Mytilus edulis: one gene and its partner. The protein of the gene in region 1 purifies or fractionates together with the protein of each later gene. This does not show direct contact. Links are inferred from orthologs where the notes say so. Each region holds a gene or a part of one and is shown on either strand. Other genes may lie near its edges.

The links.
Region 2: the proteins of coatomer subunit beta'-like (region 1) and coatomer subunit delta-like fractionate together in Homo sapiens (co-fractionation; 5 studies listed by BioGRID and IntAct, with this or other methods). This does not show direct contact. The link is inferred for Mytilus edulis from reciprocal best matches to the Homo sapiens genes COPB2 and ARCN1.

Annotation. Positions count from the first base shown.
Region 1 is NC_092356.1:64,947,768-64,955,502, reverse strand, and holds the start of coatomer subunit beta'-like, read right to left. Parts: upstream 3,027-7,735; 5' UTR 2,941-3,026; coding exon of another isoform or gene 2,938-2,940; intron 328-2,937; coding exon of another isoform or gene 228-327; coding exon 18-227; intron 1-17. Other genes in the region: transmembrane protein 107-like, read left to right, coding at 3,319-3,402. UniProt on the Homo sapiens protein: The coatomer is a cytosolic protein complex that binds to dilysine motifs and reversibly associates with Golgi non-clathrin-coated vesicles, which further mediate biosynthetic protein transport from the ER, via the Golgi up to the trans Golgi network.
Region 2 is NC_092348.1:7,123,596-7,130,427, reverse strand, and holds the start of coatomer subunit delta-like, read right to left. Parts: upstream 3,024-6,832; 5' UTR 2,735-3,023; coding exon 2,732-2,734; intron 1,641-2,731; coding exon 1,601-1,640; intron 807-1,600; coding exon 583-806; intron 142-582; coding exon 1-141. UniProt on the Homo sapiens protein: Component of the coatomer, a cytosolic protein complex that binds to dilysine motifs and reversibly associates with Golgi non-clathrin-coated vesicles, which further mediate biosynthetic protein transport from the ER, via the Golgi up to the trans Golgi network.

The DNA of each region.
Region 1 (7,735 bases):
GAGAAACTTTGAGATACCTGGGATTCAAAATTCCAAATGTGTACATTTCCATTGTATAAACTGGCTAACATCCATGGCTCTGTAGGGTGCAAGTCCACAGATTTGACACGATCAGACCTAGCTGACAGCTTCCGCTTTATATCCAAACGTAGCGGCTGAAAAGAATAATAAAAGTCAATAGTTATATACCTGAGATTCAAAATTCCAAATGACCACCTTGCCATCATACAAACTAGCCATCATCCATGGTTCAGTTGGGTGCAGACCCATGCTTTTAACACGATCTGATCGGGCTGTCAAAACCCGCTTTATATTCAAACGTAACGGCTGCAATACATAATTCATTAGATATTAGATGTTGATCATGTTTAAGTAAGTATATGTAAGAATGAACAGTGTAGAGCTGTAAATACTAGATTTCATATTATTTTAATACTATATATCCTTTCAACTGTTGTTTGGTAGTTCCTTTTAACCCATCACAGAAGTTCTCCAGATACAAGAGTACTTTTTCCATAACAAGAAGAAGAAGCATGCACAAACTTAATAACATGACATAAGAAAGATACATACATGTACATGTAGAAGACCATTGTTAATTAGAAATATATTATTAAAATTTCTGGTTTTTAATATTATCAACATAGGAAAAGTGGGTGACAGAGATTGGATTTTTATATCCCATATCCATGGTTTCGTACCTCATGGACAACTTATATGTACAATGTATACCATTTCTTATCTCATCATGTTAGGTTTGTATGTTTACCATTTTTCACCTCATGGAAGTTTTGTATGTTTTATTGTTTATCATTTTAGAAGGTTTGGATACTATAGGCCTCGACAATAACGCTTGTCCGATACCAGAGGGAAAAAAGGTCGGACAAGTAAAAGCTGTATCAAGCTTGTCCGTTGGAACAAGTACAATTATTCTGCAGAAAATAAATTTCATCCAACTTTGATGAACAAAGTATAATAATAAACAAAAAACAAAAATTAGTTTGACATGTTTCTGTATTCTGTTTATTGAAATGCAAAACCTTTTTTTTAGCATGTTTACTTGCAATCGATAATTTTTAACTTGTCCTTTGTCAGGTACCTTTTAACAGGTGAAAGGTACTCAGTGTTCTCCCCAGGGCCTTTTAGCATCATGGTAATGTGATGCTATAATCTTAAATGTGATGCTATTTGAATTGGTTTTCTTATAGATTATGTTATGGATGTGATGCTATAAATTTCAGAAACAAGATGGTATTTTAATTTCCCCTATTTACCAGGATGCTAAATGAAATATCTGGGGAGAACACTGGTACATTATACTATTCTCGGAAACCAGCCTTACTGATCCGAATAATCAATGCTGGGTTTTGTAGACTAGGTAACTTTACAGGACAGTTCTCACTTCGACAGGTTTAGCTCAAAGTTTAATAGACAGTTTGGCACCGTAGGAGACAAATTTAGTGGAAATGATTGATAGACACTTTGGCAAGGCAGGAGACATTTCGGGACCAAGACAAATCAGTTCCTCATTTTCTTTCCTTATTCTGTTCTTTATAATAAATACCATACAGGTAATTTTTTCACAAAAATATTTTTTTTTATTTTCCATAATTTTTTGTATTAACCATAATTTCATAAAATTCACAAAATCATATTTGATCATAGGTAAAAAAAAAACAATACTTGCAAAATGGTGACCTTTAGTTGTTAATTTCTGTGTCATTTTGGTCTCTTGAAGAGAGTTGTCTCATTGGCAATCAGACCTTATCTTCTTCTTTTTATTGATTGCATTTGAATAAACTTTTTTCAACTTAAAAAAAAAACCAGGATACAAATCCAATGAGTGTACAGGCCTATCAGATGGTGCCTCATGTTTAGAGTCTGATGAGACAGCTGGCATTGATGAAAACTAGAACCTAAGTCCTGTGACATGACTAGATTCAGTTGTACTTGACTCATATTTTTGAAAAGTATTTCAAAAGAAATACATCAAATTCTGTTCTATTGTTTAAATTCGTTTTGTTCCTTTAATCAACTTAAAATGTAAAAAGGTTATTTTTTATTAAAAAAATTTGGACAAGTAACAATTTCATTGGGACAAGTAAGTTTTGGTATGTACTTGTCCTACTGGCATGACTGGACAAGTTGAAAAAAAAGTTATTGTAGAGGCCTGTACTATTTCATTGATGTATGTACTCCACATGCACTTATTGTACAATTACTCAATCATGATTAAATTAATAACATTCAAGCGTTTTTGAGTTATTGTCCAACAAATTGACGACGGAAGGACAGACAACAGTATACCATAATACGTCCAGTAAACGGGTGTATAAAAACAAACAGATTTGATATTTATTAAATATTACTATCATTTACCAAGACTGTTGGTAAATGATACAAAATAGTTAACATGTATTTAGTTCATGAGGGACAAATTGATAGATGCTTTGGCCCATAGGCATAGGGTACGAAATACACCTTATCGCTATTTGTCTGCCATTACTGGATATCACACAGGTTCCCGTAAAATTTTGATGTCATAAAACAATATATCTGACGCCACAATGGAAAAGTGATTGTTCTATGCGTCAAAAGTTCAAGCGGCCGGGTCAGCCAGGATTAGCGATAAGGTGTATGGCAGTGCCCCAGTGGTACAAAAATGATTAGCTTACAACCAATAATGCATTATGATTATGACCACATTTCATAAATGACTATCAAATTAGTGTCGTTCTGCTTTACACTTAATGTCTAATTGCAATAATTTTCGGTAACCTACAAAATATGTAATGTTAAAAAATGTGTCAACAATGGTCCATATCCCCCCTTTTCACATTAAACGTTGATCTTTACTATATTTCGCCCCTAAACCTGACAGCTACTACATATCGAGAAGCTCATGCGTTATAAAATTCTAAAATAGTTATTCGTTACCATTCTCTTGGGTTATAAGTTTGTAAACAAATAAGTTTCGCCGGTTCAGTTTCAACCTGGATGAAGAGACGTGTCCACAGTGAATGCGCAAGCGTGACCGGACTCGGAAGTTAAACATGATTTGTTTGAAAATGGCCGCCAAACAAGCTTAGACATACCAATATTTTTATACTTATGCATTGTGTACATCGTGAATAGCAAGTTGTCATCAAAGACATAACCATTTTATTGTAAAAGCAAAACTGAATGGTTACGCATATTTAAGGAGTTAAAACAACACTTGGCAAGAATTCGAAGTATACTGTCGTAATTTGTAAATTCTTGGTTCCAACTTAATACAAATTACAAGGAAATTATACATATACTTCAGATATAGTCAAAATGAGAATAAGTGGTCTTGTTCCAGCAAGATTTCTCACAATTGTCGCCCATCTTGTGATAGTCATAGTTTTATTTTGGTCAAAAGTAAGTAAACTTTACACAATAATACTGTTTACAATACACCTTATCGCTATTTGTCCGCCATTGCTGGAAATCACACAGGTTCCCGTAAAATTTTGACGTCATAAAACAAAATGTCTGACGCCACAATGGAAAAGTGATTGTTGTTGACGTCAAAAGTTCAAGCGGACGGGTCAGCCGGGAATAGCGATAAGGTGTATACACCTTGTCTCTATTTTGTAATTCACCTTATCGCTATTTGCCCGCCATTACAATTTACTGGACATCATACAGGTTCACGTAAAATTTTGATGTCATAATACAAAATATCTGACGCCACAATGGAAAAGCGATTGTTGTATGACGTCAATAGTTCAAGTGGGACAGATTCTGGGGTCAGACGGGATTAGCAATAAGGTGTATCAGGTCCGTTCGCGCCCAATACACTTTCGCACCCTACACGTCTGCTCCTCGCACGTTCGCACCCAAGGTCTGTTCGCACTCTACATGTTCACGCCCAATTTTAGATCAAATTCCAGTTGAATAATTAGAAAATCATGATTGTTGTTTTAAACTGCATAGGTATTTAGCTTAGTAAAATGTATGAGTAAAACATTGAAGATTTTAAATGAAAAACACAAAAGATAATTGTTTTTAACAGCTTGGTCCCTTTGATCTGAAACAATGAAACAATAAAATATAGCAATACACTATTATCATGATTAGTGTATCGCTGTAACTTTGTTTCAATCATTGACTTAGGCCATAATAAATAAAAGGTTTGTTTGCCCAAACACTACCTACCAAGAAAAAAAGCTGCCTACTCAAATTCTTTTATTGTCCTGATTTAAATGATAAAATTTATTCAACACACAAAAAGAAAACGTAGTTAGAATTTCACTTTATTTTGAAACAAGGCCAGACTTAAAAATATTTTGGTTTGCCCAAACCCTACCCAAAGGTTGAGACAGTGGGTAGGTAGGTAGGCATTTTTTTTTCTTTCAAAAAAAGAAATTGAAGTATCAGATGTTAATTAGTCTTCATGCCTATTTGATAAAAAAAAAAAACTTCTTCAAATCAGGACAATAAAAGAATTTGAGTAGGCAGCTTTTTTTCTTGGTAGGAAGTGTTTGGGCAAACAAACCTTTTATTTATTATGGCCTAAGTCAATGATTGAAACAAAGTTACAGCGATACACTAACCAAAACATGATTAAGAGTTATTCAGCACAAAATAAAACGTTGACAGATTCCAACATTATTTAGAAAGGATTGTTATTTTTTTTAACAATACACTATCCAAATGAGATTTATTCAACACAAAAAATAATGCTGTCTCACTTTATAATGAGACAATGACAACAAATATTCTGATAGGAATACACTTTCCAAAACTTGATTACAAAGTTGTTAAACACAAAACCAATAAAAATTGGGCGCGAACATGTAATGTGCGAACGGACTTTCAGTGCGAACATATAGTGTGCGAAAGTGAAAGGGGGCGATCATGAGTGGGTGCAAACGTGAATGGGCGCGAATGGACCCGGATTCGTATCTGTCCAACCTGCAGTGATTTTGCTAGTGTTCCATCATTTCGTCATTCACAAAATGGTTTTCAAAATGTTGAAAGGATTTCAAATCAATTTCGTCTCTTAAATCATGACATGTTTGAAGGTCTAATAATATTTTTGTATAAAAAATATAATTGTGTTCAAGTTTCTGGCCCTGAGCCGGTAATTAACATTTACATTTGTACAACAGGTGTTACAAGTTGTGATTTGTAACAGCTTATCCGCTTATCACCATCCGATTGGTCACTAATGGATCATATTTAACCACAAATATAATTATGATAATTAACCTTCTTATAATAATTGTTTTCCCCAGAAAAATCAGTCAGTCAGCATTTGAACAACCACAATGTAGTACGTTTAGTCATTTCATGAAAATTGTTTTCTTCCAGACAGTTCAAATTTGAATTTCAATATTCCTCAAACAGTAACAAACTTTTTGAAGTTTCTATGTCATTGTATGTCATGTATGTACAATGTAGTTTCTTTATTTGAACGTATTTTCGACAAAATAAATTTAATATTGAAAGTCAATGTCATCTATTCTTCATTTTTTTTTACAACCTCCTTACAGTCATTTTAATCACTCTAATGAGTATTTGTACAAATCCTTAGTTCCAATTTACATGATTTATAAGAATTGTTTTCATGCCCCACCTACGATAATAGAGGGGCATAAGCCGCATTATGTTTTCTGGTCTCTGCGTCCTTCCGTCCGTCCGTCTGTCCGTTTGTCTGTTCGTCCGTCCGTCCCATTTCAGGTTAAAGTTTTTGGTCAAGGTAGTTTTTGAAGAAGCTAAAGTCCAATCAACTTGAAACTTAGTACACATGTTCCTTATTATATGATCTTTCTTATTTTAAAACAAAATTAATCTTTTGACCCCATTTTCATGGTCCACTGATCATGAACATAGAAATTAAAAGTGTGAGTTTCAGGTTAAAGTTTTTGGTGAAGGTAGTTTTCAATGAAGTTAAAGTCCAATCAACTTGAAACTTAGTACACATGTTCCCTTTTGGTTGATCTTTTTACTTTTAAGGCCAAATTTGATTTTTTACCCAATTTCACGGTCCATTGAACATGGAAAATGATAATGCGAGTGGGGCATCCGTGTACTTGGGACACATTCTTGTTTTTCAAATTTCGATTTTATTGTTTTATAAGGATAGTGAGACATTCATTTCTGCTGTGATTCCTGGTGTAAAAAAATGAAATCAAACTTTTAATGGAAAAAAAAGAAGTTAAATTGTGACTTAGATTTCCGGATCCCATATCAGTTTATCTTTATGTAGGCCAAACCAGTCAAATCATGCAATAACTGCAAAGCATGTCCAAGTCCTTCAAAGTCTGACAAGGATGTATACATGTAGCTGGTAATATTGATACTGTTACACAAAATAAGGTTACATTAATTTTCATATCATGACCGGAGAATCTGTCTCGCTTGAACTTTTGATGTCATACCACAATCACTTTTCCATTGTGGCTTCAGATATTTTCTATTATGACGTCAAAATTTTATAGGAACTTTTGTGATGTCCAGTTAAGGCTGATAAATAGTTATGAGGTGTATAATGTCAATCAGTCAGGACTAACTTAAATGAGTGATTTTCTAAATCACTGAATCAATTAACATTATGTCCAATCTACAAATGTTGGAAGTAAGAGTTTTCTTTCTTTTAGTCACCCTTAAGATAGTAGTACAAATTATCACTAGACTAAGTGATTTAATTTTATTGTAGCTTTAAATATACAATACTAATGATCAAGGGACTAAATACATATGTATGTTGCTAAAATTATCAGAAACAACATCTGTATTGATAGGATGGCTGGTCGGGCGCAGGACATTTGAGGGAAAAAATTAAAACTACTAGGGGACATTCGAGCGGCTACATTAGAGCCCATTTAAGCACTGGATAAATCCGGTCACCTGTATTTTCGATAGCCCATTTTAGCGAAAAATTTACCTGTTTTAAGCTCACCTGGCCGAAAGGCCAAGTGAGCTTTTCTCATCACTTGGCGTCCGGTGTCCGTCGTTGTCGTCCGTGGTCCTTCGTCGTCCTGCATTAACTTTTACAAAAATCTTCTCCTCTGAAACTACTGAGCTAAATTTAACCAAACTTGGCCACAATCATCATTGGGGTATCTAGTTTAAAAATTGTGTCCGGTGACCCAGCCAACCAACCAAAATGGCCCCCATGGCTAAAAATAGAACATAGGGGTAAAATGCAGTTTTTGGCTTATAACTCAAAAACCAAAGCATTTAGAGCAAATCTGACATGGGGGTATTATTGTTCATCAGGTCAAGATCTATCTGCCCTGAAATTTTCGGATGAATCGGACATTTCGTTGTTGGGTTGCTGCCCCTGAAATGGTAATTTTAAGGAAATTTTGCTGTTTTTGGTTATTAGCTTGAATATTATTATAGATAGAGATAAACTGTAAACAGCAATAATGTTCAGCAAAGTGAGATCTACAAATAAGTCAACATGACCAAAATGGTCAGTTGACCACTTTAGGAGTTATTGCCCTTTATAGTCAATTTTTAACCATTTTTCGTAAATCTTAGTAATCTTTTAGAAAAATCTTCTCCTCTGAAACTACTGGGCTAAATTTAACCAAACTTGGCCATAATCATCATTGGGGTATCTTATTTAAAAAAATGTGTCCGGTGACCCGCCCAACCAACCAAGATGGCCGACATAGCTAAAAATAGAACATAGGGGTAAAATGCAGTTTTTGGCTTATAACTCAAAAACCAAAGCATTTAGAGCAAATCTGACATG
Region 2 (6,832 bases), on another chromosome or scaffold:
CATTTCAGTGAATGTTCTGATTTGAGCAAGATTTACATTTTCTCTATAACCTAGAGCTACGATTTCATCAAAAGCAAAGATAAGAGAAAATGCCTGATCTCCAATCTCAGCCTCCTCCATATTTCTGCAGTATTCTGGTATCTGAAGAAAATAAAAAAATAAAAATAGATATTTGTTATGCATTTAGTTAACTTTTTAACGCATGTCAAGTTGTTAACAAATATTCAATTCTGCTATTTATCTAGATCTTTGCAATGCCATCAAAAATGCTCCTTAAAATAATAAGGTGTAATCCAAGCAAATCTATCACATGAAAAGTATTATCCCCCCCCCCCCCCCACACACAACATCTTTTTGTGTGAGTGATACTTATTGAAAGAAGTTTTTTTCTTTATTAAGTTACTTGCCCTGCCAAACGACACTTTATTAAGATATTCTAGTATGTTGATAGCTATTTATAGAACATAAAGTTTTCTAATTTACCACATGTTCAAACAGACAAATGTTCCAAGATCTTCAGGAACATGTATGTTGTTAGCGATTGTTGTTATTGATAGATCATAAAGTTTTTTTCAAACTTACCACACGTGCAAACAGACGTAATGTTTCCAGATCTTCTAGTATGTTGCTAGCTTTTGTTGTTATCAATAGAACATAAAGTTTTTCTAGAGGCTGATACACATATCTCACACTTTCTGTTTCAACAAAAGTATGTTGTTTTCCTGAACTCATCAACTTAGGAAAAGCTGCAAGCAAGCCTTCTATTCTTGACCTCGTCATTTCCACAAATTGACGGGAAATTAACGCTGAAAAAGTCTTATAAGTATTAATTTCATTCTTCATTTTGTAATTACATCAGGGTGTACAGCACATTATTTATCAAAGAGACGAAGCATTAAATTCTTACATGTATTACAATAACGATGTCAGGCTACAATCTTGAAAATTCATTTAAATTATGTAATTGTATGAAACTTGTATGAGATGTAATAATATATATTATATAAATGTAGTTAATCAATTAATTTAATAATTAAAATGATAGCACTTACCTTTTACCTTTTTTTTTATAATTTAAATGATAGTAAAATTCAATAAAAACAAGTATTAAATTTCTCAGTTTAAAAGTTTGGTTGGTAATTGGGAGGGCAGTTCGTGTCAGTGTTCCTCCTGCAGATCTCAATGAGCTGTAGATCAGTTTATTTATTTATCATGTATACTCTGGCTTTTAAATTATTTGGCATAATTTTTTTATTTGTGTTCTTAATGCTTGAATTACTTTTAGTGCTTTATAATTGCTATTGCATGAATGTTAGTTTATCTGCATTTTATGTTTGCTTATATGCTTTAATTGTGCTAATTAATTGTTGTGCTTGATAACATTATTTATTTTGCATGTTTTATGTGTTTTATGTATTGTGCTTGTCTTATATGTATGTCGGATAAAAGCTCTACAGAGCTTATGTTGTATTGTTATATGTATAACCGACTTTAAATAAATCTTTTATGCTTTATGCTTTATCTCAATTCTCTTGTAAAATATACAGATATAAACATTTTGGTGTCTTAATTAATTAAGAATTATAAAAAATAAACCAACCTTTTCCAGACTTGTTACATACAGCTGCAGCAAGCAGCACCTAGATAAAAGAAAGAAAAATATAGTTGATTGTCCAATAAATTCATGGGTATTCTTACATTCTTAAGGTTTATGAACCCTTCTGTGTCCTGAGAATTACGAAATTTTCAAACTGCAATAGTTTCAATAGTATCAAAACAGCAAAGATAATTATTAATAGAGATATGCAATTTGTACATATACCAAGGGGAAACTTGTGCAAAGCCTTATCATTTTAAGTTTAGTTGCATTTAGTAGAAAAAGAGGATTTGGTGAAAATAAAACCAAGATTTTTGTAGAAAATCCACAGACTTCAATACAGAGATTAATGTAATAAAATTTTGACCATAGATTACTCACTTGTTTTTCTATGATGTCCTAAACAACCTTTAAATTCCAAAACACCTTGTGTTGAGTCACTAAAGTCAAGTGCACCGTAGAAGGTGTACTTGATATGGTGGATATCTATATTTGTTTTAACCAATATCTAACCTATAAACTTGTTTTAAGGAAATTCTTGATAGCACTGCATGCAATAATTCTCTATCTATCAACCATAGAATTACCAAACATGAGAGTACAAAGGGAAAGGCTGTGCGTTTTCTATAAAATTTCCATATGTGTGGCATTAAATCAACACAAGGGTACATAATCCTTAAGCCTAAGGAATGACACTAATGAATATGATTGGTACAGATCATACAAAATTGACAAAGGTATACAATAGTGGTGCATTCTTTTGTTTACTACTACTAGTTTTTATTCTTCCTTTATAGTTACATGTCCAACAGTACATGTATCTTATGACGTTATGTCCTTCATTGGCTTCAATTTTGAAAACTTTTTGATATCCCAGTATTTTTTACATGTTTTACGAATCTGTGCTCATTCCATATTGCTAGTGATAGAATCCAATTATAGATACATTACGTTATGCAATATGTTTACAGTATAATAAAGCAAAAATGAGGTTCGGTTTGTTGTTGTGGAGAAAAAATATGAAGGATGCCGGTAAGTGGTTTGGGTTTGATCAGGCTCTAGCGAGTAAAATATTCATTGTTGAGAGCAATAAGAATGTCTGACAATGTTATAGAAACTTAGTGAATGTCCTACCATGTTGAACGAAAGCTGTTTTGAATACTAGTGTTGACAAATATTGAAGTAATGAACGTATCTGCTGACGGTTTTTCGGCCACGTCAATTTCAAGTTGTAACCTTGCGCTTTATCCCAAAAATTGTAGTTTCTGAACAAATAATAATGGATAAGATTTTGCAATGAGTTCTATGTTTGAAATCTTACAACGTTAAATCTTAGTTTATAAAGCACAAAATTGTTATAAAATTAGGTGTTAAATAGAGGATTATATTTTTAAAAGAAAATCGCCGGATTCAGATGCGCAGGTATAGCCTAATACAACATAAAAATGTCTAGGAAATAATCAACAACAACGGACCAATGAGATGGAAGTAATACAACTCAACTCGCTCCACTTTTGCACCAACTCGCCCCACTTTCAAAATGAGGTTAAATCCCGTTAAATTTACTTCTGCTTACTCACTGCATTTATCAAAATGTGTAAAATCCATATAATAACATGATTAATGTCTGCCAACTCAGCCTCACTTTTATGAAAACTTATCTGTTGTATACCATATTTGTGTATCTATGTTCTTGTTTCTAGTGTTGACATTTTATCTAGTACTTCTTTTTGTGTAATCAAAGATTTGTATAGTAAGAACGATACAAATCATTGGTGTAATCATGACAGTGTTTGTCATAATTGATTTATTGTGCAAAACTTTCATCTGAGAAAAAAATGTGTAAAAATACATGATGATATTTTATCATGATGATTCTTGACTTGTAAATATGTAAAACAGTGATAATATGAGGGTTTGGATGGGGTTAAATGATTAAAGAATAATTCCCTTAAAAAATGAAGATTAGAGAATAACGGGCATAAAAAATGAAGATTAGAGAAAAAAGGGGTTAATTTTATGAAGATTAGAGAAAAAAGGGATTAATTTTTTAATGATTAGAGAAAAAAGGGGTGAAAATTAAAGGTTTACAGAATAACAGACCCCCCCTTTCCAGACCCTATATTTACCAGGAAAAAAATCATAAACAGTTCCTATAGTCAATAACATTGTACGTTCCAGAAATGCTGATACTTACTCATGTCTGCTCTCTTCCAACCTAAAGAGTTTAAGGTAGATAAGGTGTATCCTCCATCTTGGAATTTGAAATACCAGGAATCAAGGTCTAGATCTTTGATAAAATGTGCAAATTTTGAGAGTAGTAGGTAATTCATGTGTAAGAATGTTCATTATGATACAGAAAAATACCATGTTTTAATCATCTTTATGGTTGTATTTTACAAAAACACGAATACTTTTGTTTGATTCATTTTTTTCCCCAACTTTGCCAAATAAGGGAAGGCAACTCAAATGCAAGGGCAGATAATTCAAATAATGTTACTTTTACAATAGACTGTGTTAGGAATTTACCCATTTTAGTATGTAGCAAAAAAATGAGTCCGGTGACCGCCTGTTTTTTCTTTTTCTTATCTGAAAGCATAATATTGGAGCTATGTTCTCATATTTTATCTCAAAATTATATGGTGTAGTTTTGGTTTTATGGCGGAAAATTGGGTTTTCCATCATAATCTATACAAAATCTGCCAATTTTGCACAACCTGTAGTATGAAAATAAGTGCCGTGACCCATTATTTTTATGAAGGTTTTTAAACAAGCAGAATATAAACTACATTTTGGCAAATTATCAAAAAAAATCTATCTATAATACTAAAATTACGAGGTCCAATTTGTCAGCCTTCATCACGTAAAAACGACGAATCACAGAATTCAACTTTATATATAACTTATATTGTACAAAGGTGTAGATTAAAAATTACACCACTCCAGGCCCTTTTGTTTTCCACGTAATTAATATTGCCAATAATTAAGAAGTTCCGGGTCGAGTCCGCTACCGATATCAATAGTATATTCACCTGTTACCTATTACCTTATCTGTACGTTCCGCATTTGACAGGCGCACCACCAAACGTTGTATTCAGGATTAATATGCTATATACACGGGTCATAACCACAGGGTTGACACTACTAAATTGTCAAATTGTTACCTATTGTAGTATTTTAATCAGTAAGACTTTTTAAGATAACAATACGAATACTAAAAATCTGGACTAAAAATAAGGCGTATAGGTACAGTTTTCAATTTGTTAGTGGGCATGACGTAAAACAGCGAAGCAAAGAATTCAACCTTTATTTATAACTTATATAGGACAATGCTATTGATTAAAGAATACTTCATTCCAGGACCTTTTGTTTTCCAAATAATTAATATTATTGTTTCAGTTCGACGGGTTCAAACAGAAAGACTTGAAAGCAGAGAAAAACTGCATGTGTATCTTATAATCGGTATGACTTTATCAGATGACAATACTAATACTAAAATAAGGCTTGCACATAGTTATATACTTTAATTCAGTCACGGACCCGTGATATCACGGGTGTGTTCTAGTGGATTATAATTTAGACACTCCATCTACCTTACAATAACCGAGATGCATTTCTACATTATTCATAAATATTCATTTAATTCATAATTGGGGCAACTAGGTAGGCCTCAATTCTGTACAGTTTAATTGTTTTATTCGTACGGTGGGTCGAGTTGGCTTCATTAAAAGTGGTATGGGAGTCTAAATTAAAAATGATAGAATTTGTTCATACTTTGTCAAAACGTAGTGTCTATTGATATATGTTCAAAAATCATGCCAAGAAATTGCCTCCGTTGAAATTCTGCAAACACTCCATAGGGCAAATTACATGGATGATTAATATTGACCATTTGGTATATAGCTGTGTTCTAAGCAACACGTACATGAAGGTCATAAATTAATTTCTTCAATGAAATCAAATCTTTAGCTACTAATGACTGCCGTAGGGGGTCGACCGGAATTTTTAGCGAGGATTTCTTGGCATGGAGTAACAGATAGGTTAGAATTCATAGAACAGAAAAGGGGCAGTGGCAAATATTTCATGTATATTTTGAACACGGAGAGAATTTACCTGCACCTTTTGCCAAAAAAATCCTTTCTTTTTCTTATTTGTGCCTTCCGACTTTATGTTTTGAATTGTAGTTTCACTTTCCATATTCGGTATTTATTCAAATGTAAGCTCCACATGGTAAAAATCACGTGATGCAGAAATATTATATCTTGGAGTTAGACTATTTCTTTCTTTTCGGGCGGAGACTCCAAGCAAACAACATGCATGTGTATAACGGCACTGTAGATTTTCGTATTAAATAAAGAAAGTTGCCGGTCCGGTACATGAATAGATTGGTTAGAAAGCAAGGTTTTAATTTTAATTAGATTCGAAAGCTTAATTCGAGGGTTGAAAATACAGAGCACAAATAAAAGGGGGGGGGGGGGGGGGGGTCCACAGGGAATATTTGTATCTTATGAACTCTATATTTGAAAGGGTTATTTTTTTTATGTAATTAAAAAAGAGAAAAACAAATATATAACAAATTGTGATTGGTCTTTCTTCCTTTCTCCCGATAACAAAAATGATAGATCACCGCACATTTTCTCAAGCTACAGGTTATGACAAAATGACACCTTTTGTATGGATTATACAGAATAAATCATCATTATGTGATTTGAAGCTAAACTAAATGTTAGCATTGTGAAATAAAATTCGAGAAGATATCTTTTAGAAAATGCTTTTAGAATATCAAAAGAAAAGATAGGGTCACCGTGTGTTTTTTTCCCGGCTAGAATTCAAAATAGCAAAATTCCATGTAGATTCCATCCGAAAAAGCACTATTTCAGAGTTATCTCCCCTTAAAATGCCAATTTAAAAAAAAAAAAACTAATCAAACTGAATTCATTTATACTTGTAAAAATATTAAAATTTATAAGTTATAAGCTTATAAATTTGTTCTTTGAAATGCAAATTCATATTTGTTAACTGCATTCCTGCATCAAATTTTGCTAACTTGATTGAAAATCTAGACCTTAGATTCTCTGTTTTTTTACAATCCAAGATAGCGAAAGACACCCATACCACCTTAAATCAATGGAATACAACTCCTTTTCATAAGTGGGTCGAGTTGGCAACAGGATTGCATCATGTTTCATACGTGCAGGAACAGTCTATGCTAACTAAGTATAAACTGTCCCTGAC